Drosophila melanogaster: one gene and its partner. The gene in region 1 interacts genetically with each later gene. Each region holds a gene or a part of one and is shown on either strand. Other genes may lie near its edges.

Region 1 (3,756 bases):
ATCGTTTCTCATAGATCCCCCCTCTTATCAGTTAGCTGACTCAGGGGCCTTTTGGCCAAATAGGTGAGAAACGTTTGGCTGAGTCACACCATCGACCATAGTCGGTTTCAGCGTAATTATCACCGCACTCACTTGACTCGACCCTACGCTCCTAATGCGGGCTTGGCGGCGATTGCGCCCCTGTTTGTGTCTAAGTTATGTGGGAGGTGATGGGTCAGGCTGGTGGCGACCATTATAGCGTACTCTAGATGCTGCTCGTAGAACCTTCCAGTCAAATGATCGCATGGGATTGGTGTGGGGGAAAATTCTTTCGATTTCTTTCCACACAGCCAGCCCCTTATCTTAATGAACTTAAGCCATGACAAGCGAGAGACACAAAAACATATTTATGAATTAAATGACTACAGATACGAGAAGCGGGCATATCAGCGGCAAAGGGAGGGAGAAATATACATATATACATATGTGGTTGGACCTTCGATGCAGGTCCGGAACCAACCTAGGCCGACGCCTTTAGCTTACGCATTAGGTTATAACAATATAACAATTAGGCGCAGACGCATTCAAATGAACCAGGCGGGGTAGATGATATATTTGGTGGGCATACACTATTAACGACTGCTGATACTTTTTTTTTTGCACAGCCGCCCTGCCTAAAATGGGCGAAAATGCAATTTAAACGGAATGACGTACTTGGGGGGAGTGCTAAAAATTCCGAAAGCGGCCATATCTTGCTGGAATTATGTAAATTAATCAATCGTTATCAGTACCCAAGGCACGGCAATCCACTCGAATTTCAGTTAAGCGATTAGATAACATATGGGGGGGAATGCGAAAACCCTTCGACTAGAATTGTTGCTTCGCTTGCCAAGAGCTACATATGTATGTAAGCCGAACTATGGAAATAATGTACGAGTATTTGAGTAATTAGTGCGTATTTTTTAAATCAATTCGTATTCTAAGCCTACAACTAGTCAAACATACTTATCGAATAAACTGAGAAGCATGACCAATATAAATCTGACTTTATTTACTTTTCTGGTTCACAAAGAATGCGATGCAATGCAAATTTATTTGCGTCCTCCGGTTTCTGATAAGGCGGATTGGAATGAATCACCCGATTGTCTGTGATTTACAATTAGAGGTTTTGTTGCGACCATTGAGATTACTCAAAATGTCCGCAATGGGGCTATCTAATCGAATTGGAGGAGCATGGTGCGCACGTGAGAAGTGCCAAAAAAAAAATCAGAGCATAGTGAAACAATAAATAAATAATCATTACATTCCATATGTGCATACGGACCAATGCAAACAGTAGGCGATTAAGCGTTCTACATTCTATCGTAGCATGCAATTTTGAGTGACTAAGCTCCATGAAACGTTGTTTCTGAGACCTAATTATCTTAAAACAGCATTGAATTGCTTCCTGTTTGCCGAAAGAAGCGCAAGTGTAATCTTAGCATCAGAAATATTGCCAACTTTTTGGGTCGTTTCTTATCATATAATTTGAAAAGTGTGCAGTTTTGGGACAATTGAGATAAAGACTATATTTGTCCCAGTTTGATGAAAAATGGTTCAGATACTTCAGGGCACTGAGCGAAGCCCCTAGCCTCGGGCTATCGTCAAGTGTCCGCCGTAATCTTCAAAAGTGGTCAATACACTTGACTTTGATGTTTTAGTACACAATTTAAATTCAAATCTTTAGTTCGGCGCGCAGATCTCTGTCAACAGCTCGATAATTATCGAGGCCATATAGAATGCTGTCGTTTTCCGGCTTACCAAATACGGTCATACCACCCAAAGCTCTCCAGAATTTTGCAATAAAATCGCAAACAAAGGTATTAGGAGTATTAAGAGGCGTAAAAAATTCATTTGAGGAGCCAATAGTTTCGTGAAATCTAGTGTTTCCTCTTTTAAGTGGTCGCCAAGCATGCCGTTCGTTGGCTGCCTCTAAAAACAGTCAAATGCCTGTGCAAATTTCTCGTGAAAAATCCATAGAATGCACAAAAAATGTTTATCAGTCACTCACAAACACACGCACGCGCCAGCAGTGAGTGGGAGAGAGCGAGAGAGAGCACAGCTGCCGCCGGTGCATGTCATTGCTGTGTGTGCGTGTGTGGGTGAACTTGAGTGGGAGGCGGAAGATATTGGAAAAATTCCTCCGCTTTTCGGTTTGTTTATGTTTAAGAGTTGCCTATTGATTTTTAACAGGCGCCCGAAATTTTAGTGCCATTTCGGTTCAAAGTGTCTGTTGTACTAGTTGAACTTTCCCATTTCCACTCACCTCGTGCAAATCCTAAAATTAAAAGAATCAAAAACTTTGTGGTATTAAATTAACCCCAAATTTGAGCTCATTTGAGCTATTACGAAGTGCACAAAATAACTTAACTTAGCAAGTAAAACACTCACCAAAATATTTTTTAAAACTTAAAAAAACAACGAATGTAGCGTAGTTGATAATAACTTATTACTTAGTAAAAAAAATATTACGATAAATTAGTTTTAAAAGTGTTGCTCATAAATTGAAATCGAATGAGTCCTATAATTGTAGCATTGCAAACGACGAATCCCAATATTAAACCTACACCTTAAAAACGAAGTACTATTCTTATAAAAATAATAGATCTCTATTATGTAACTGATACACCCTTTAAAAATGTAACTTGTGAAATACACCCACAATTAAATTGTATTTCCCCACCAACAGATGTCTTAGCTTTAGCTGGACGCAAAACTTAAACTGCAGACAGTAAAGGACGAAATCACATTACTCGACTCAAAAGAAGACACACGGAAGAGAGATACCAACAAGATGGCCATGTCCAAGGTGATCCGTGTGCTGGAGAAGTCCATTGCCCCCTCGCCGCACAGCGTATTACTGGAGCATCGGAACAAGAGCGACAGCATCCTGTTCGAGTCCCATGCGGTGGCCCTGCTGACCCAGCAGGAGACGGATGTCATCCGGAAGCAGTACACCAAGGTCTGCGACGCCTACGGATGTCTGGGTGCCCTCCAACTAAACGCCGGCGAGAGCACCGTGCTGTTCCTGGTGCTGGTCACCGGCTGTGTGTCCATGGGCAAGATCGGCGACATCGAGATCTTCCGGATCACACAAACCACTTTTGTCTCGCTACAAAATGCAGCGCCCAACGAAGACAAGATCAGCGAGGTGCGCAAGCTGCTCAACTCGGGCACCTTCTACTTTGCCCACACCAATGCCAGTGCATCGGCATCCGGAGCGTCATCGTATCGGTTCGATATTACGCTTTGCGCCCAGCGACGCCAGCAAACGCAGGAGACGGACAACCGTTTCTTCTGGAATCGCATGATGCACATCCACCTGATGCGCTTCGGTATCGATTGCCAGTCCTGGTTGTTGCAAGCCATGTGCGGCTCCGTAGAAGTGCGCACCGTCTACATCGGTGCCAAACAGGCCCGTGCCGCCATCATTTCCCGACTGAGCTGCGAACGGGCTGGCACGCGTTTCAATGTCCGTGGTACCAACGATGAGGGCTATGTGGCTAACTTTGTGGAAACCGAGCAAGTGATCTACGTGGACGGCGATGTTACTAGTTATGTGCAGACGCGAGGATCGGTGCCACTCTTCTGGGAACAGCCAGGCGTCCAGGTTGGCTCGCACAAGGTGAAGCTATCACGAGGATTCGAGACATCGGCCGCCGCCTTTGATCGACACATGAGCATGATGAGGCAACGTTACGGCTATCAGACGGTGGTGAATCTGCTAGGCAGCTCCCT
Region 2 (3,756 bases), on another chromosome or scaffold:
TGCGTCGACGAATCGCCCGTAGAGTGGGGCGTGGCGCTGTCTTCCGCCCCCGCTTCCGCTGCCCTGCGCTGCGTCGACGCTGCCGCCGCTGGACCCATAAGCGGACACTAGAGCGTAAGAGAAAGGAAGAGATCAGAGATACTATCAGATATCGGCGGGAATTATACAAATATATATGTGTGTATATATAATTATTGCGATGTATTTGCTTGCCGCCTTCGTTGTGCGCCGTTCTGTGCTGGTTCATTGACCGGATCGCTCGGACACCGCTCCTCTGCAAAATGCACCTGTTTTCTTGCACACCTGACTACGTCAGCGTCAAGAGTTGCCAAAACGATAATAAAAGCAAAGGGTAGGGCGAAAAGTGTGGACACACACCGCAGGAAAAACACTGCCAATTCCCATTTAAGATCTGATATAGAGCCAGCCCAGAGTCATGCATTCTTTTTTTAACTCAAGATGCAAAATTCGTTCTAAAATTAGTTGTTGAATTGGTGGTCATACTAGTGAGTTAAAGATAGTAAGCACATGATGCTGCCATATAAAAAAAAACGAATTGGAACATTTCTCTTCCTTTCCGAAGAATCTACTTTTGCTAGCAATATTTTTTTCCTGTGCATTGGCAGGCCAGCAGAGGTAAGTAAAAAAGAAGCTCTACCTTAATTTTAGAACCAGACGGAACTGAACTGAAATTATTACACAATATGCAGGCGCAGATACATAATTCTGCCGTTTGTAGATTCTATTTCCCCACGTTCCTATGACCATTTCACATGCTCACTCTTTTTGTTTTGTTGCTCTTCGCTCTTCGTTCGCTGATGGCTTGTGCAACAAAAATAGACCCAACGTTATAAACAAGAATGAAAAAATCAAGCAACAGGGTAAAACCTGTAAGTGGCAGCAGCTGTGTTTTCGATGATAATCCGCGACATTTGATATTCCAACACTCCATTTCTAATTTCCAAAAAAACATGTGGCGAGAGCAAAGATACTTTTCCTTTCTATTCGTTGACTAATTGTGCAAACGCAAAAAAAAAAGTTGTCGGTCAGTTAAACTGACATGCAACAAATTTTTCTAGGCCAACTTCTCTGTTTCATCCAATGGGCTTACTAGTATAATAGAGTGCCCGTTCCGCCTTCATTCTCGATGATGATGATGACGATCCCTGAACCATCAGCACATTGCCATCGACCCGATCTCTATCTCTATCTCCATCTTCATCTACATCCCGCTTCACATCCAACAGCACCGTGTCCCAGGCACTTTTGGGCAGGAATTTAGAGATGATCTGATGGCCAGCGTCGTCGTCATCCGCCTGATCCTGATTGCCATTTGTTGGCCAATTTCTGACACGATGCTGGCAGCCAATTTGCGCCAAATAATTGATGTAATGAGGCGGATGATGGTGATTGTGGTGGCCGTTGTGCGGATGGTGGTTCAAGCTGCTGCTGCTGCTGGTGATGATGCTGCTACTGAAGCTGCCACCAGCTGCTGCACCAACCACGAATGGCGCCCAATCCGCGGTGGCCTTGTCAACCGGATCGCCGCCATTCATTGACTGCCAATAAACCAGGGCCGTCGACATATCACTGGCAATCGGAATCGCAATCGGAATCGCGAACGCACTTTGCACTAACCGCTTCCTTTTTTCAATCAAAATGATATGCTTATTTCGTTTATTTTTATATAGTTTATTTAAGTAATTTAAGATCCATTTGGATCTGGCTGTATGAAGCGCGGTCTGTTTCGTGTGAAAATTCAGCGCAAACTGCCTCGGTTTTTGTTCCCCCAGTTCTGTCCCCAAAGTTTGCCACTCGTCGTTGTTGTTGTTGTTGTCGTCTGTTTTATTTATACGGAACCGTGTTTTCTCCCTGCTCTTTTATTTCACTTGGTGTTTTTGCACTTTTTTGCTGCACTTATGCGGAACACACGAACGAAGCCGAGCGCCGATAGCGAGATTGCAGCAACGATCATCACGATCTCGGCGTGGTAATGATCATGAAGCTAAAGTAGGGAATGCCCGGCTATCTGGCATCGGAATTCGCTATATTAACACTACACTAGACTCGTTCAGTGTTGCACAATTGCATTTGAGTAAATGGGAAATAGAAAAATCTCTTGGTGATATCTCTTGGTCAAATCCATACCTTTCGACCTTTGTTTCGGAGTGCACATCTCTGGTGTTGAAGAAGCTCAACTGATTGAAACAGTGTTGGGTAAATACCTTTCAGTATCTCCATATTGATCACAGAGTTACTTGCACTTGCTTGTGATTAACCACAAACGAATAAATCGGTTTTCTTAGGTATTCTCCCCCATTATTGTTGGTGAAAAGCTCACTTCTGGCTGGCCTTTTGTTTTCTATCACAAGTGTTTTTTTTGACAGAGGGAGTTCCGCTTTTCGTTGATAATGGCATTTCAATAATGACATGTAGCGTAGTGACATGTAGCGAATGCATGTGGGGTAAATGGGGGAACGCTGGGTGGTTGTGGGTGGGAAAGTGCTCGCACTTGTCTCGTGCGCGCAAAGATACAAATATACATACATACATACATACATACATATGTAAGTATGCATTTCTTTGTTTCGGCTTTTGCGTCGTCGGCAAGTCAAGGAAATCAAAACAAAGCAAACGAAATGTGAAATTAAAATAAAATGTAATTAACCCCAGGCAAAAAGTGTGTGTACATAATGCAGTGCGTTACAAAACTGTATAACTGGTTGAGCTGCCACTTGGCAGAGTGGGCCATAAAAATAGGAAATCGTTTTCGAAACTAAAATGCCCAGTAATGCCAAACGATTTTGAAATAATTATAAACTTGTGTTCTTTCGAGTTATGTAAATGTCTGTCTACACGCCAAGCTAATTTGTGTTTTCCATTTCGCCAAAGCAATTAAAAAATATTTTGCTTTTATAATAAACAAATTGAACGCTTGCCAATCGATGGAAGAGTTGAATAATTAATGCGTTCGGGGCCCCTCGAAAGATTCGCAGGAGCATAGCCACCAGTCCCTCTATTTATAGGGATCCCATCCGATCCGATCCGATCCGATCCTCCGTTCGCAATGTGGGATCTTTGCCCCAAAGTTCTCATGTTCGTTGTTTGTCTGTCGCGTCTCTCGGCCGAAAATAAAAATAGTTGACGACATTTTGCGTTCGCTCCCCGCCACCTTTTTGGCCACTTGCATTTTGGGCGAGGAATGAGGGGGGGGGGGGGGATAGGGCCACTACCAACAATCACACACCATCGATAATTGCATCCGGAGCAGGTGACTCACATCGTGACGTGACTGCGACTGTAATACTACTATTACCCACCACTTGACAACTTTATGAACAGATGGCGGCGCCAGCTAATCGGATACTAAAGTCTCGACATATTTGGCAAATAATGGGGAAGTCCCGCATAGACTTACGGGTTTTTCAAAACAGTGCGGATTGGAACAAATACAGACGGTGACGGTTGAGTGATAAGCAAACAGTTGGACATATTATTTACTGAATGAATGCAGTGACATTGTTGCATTCCTCGCCTGAGCAGGAAAAGCGGTGGAAATGGTGGGGAAAGGCAGCCCAAATTAGCTGTTCGAAATCTGGCCATTATTTAAAATAGCACCTGATCCTGATACTAATTATTATTATCGGTGATATGCCCCATTTGCGTGGAATTATTGCAGAACATGGCACTGCCATCGAAAGCAGTAATATTGAACTGATTTATTCTCGAAAGGTAAATAATGTAGTATCGTTACAG

The links.
Region 2: of Synj (region 1) and mnb, changing one suppresses a phenotype caused by changing the other (phenotypic suppression), as found in Drosophila melanogaster (one study listed by BioGRID).

The regions. Positions count from the first base shown.
Region 1 is NT_033778.4:22,078,368-22,082,123, forward strand, and holds the start of Synj (synaptojanin), read left to right. Parts: upstream 1-1,808; 5' UTR 1,809-1,838; intron 1,839-2,075; exon of another isoform or gene 2,076-2,171; intron 2,172-2,317; exon of another isoform or gene 2,318-2,396; intron 2,397-2,707; 5' UTR 2,708-2,812; coding exon 2,813-3,756.
Region 2 is NC_004354.4:17,873,294-17,877,049, forward strand, and holds the start of mnb (minibrain), read right to left. Parts: upstream 1,748-3,756; 5' UTR 1,587-1,747; coding exon 1,112-1,586; intron 108-1,111; coding exon 1-107. UniProt on the Drosophila melanogaster protein: Role in the specific control of proper proliferation of optic lobe neuronal progeny.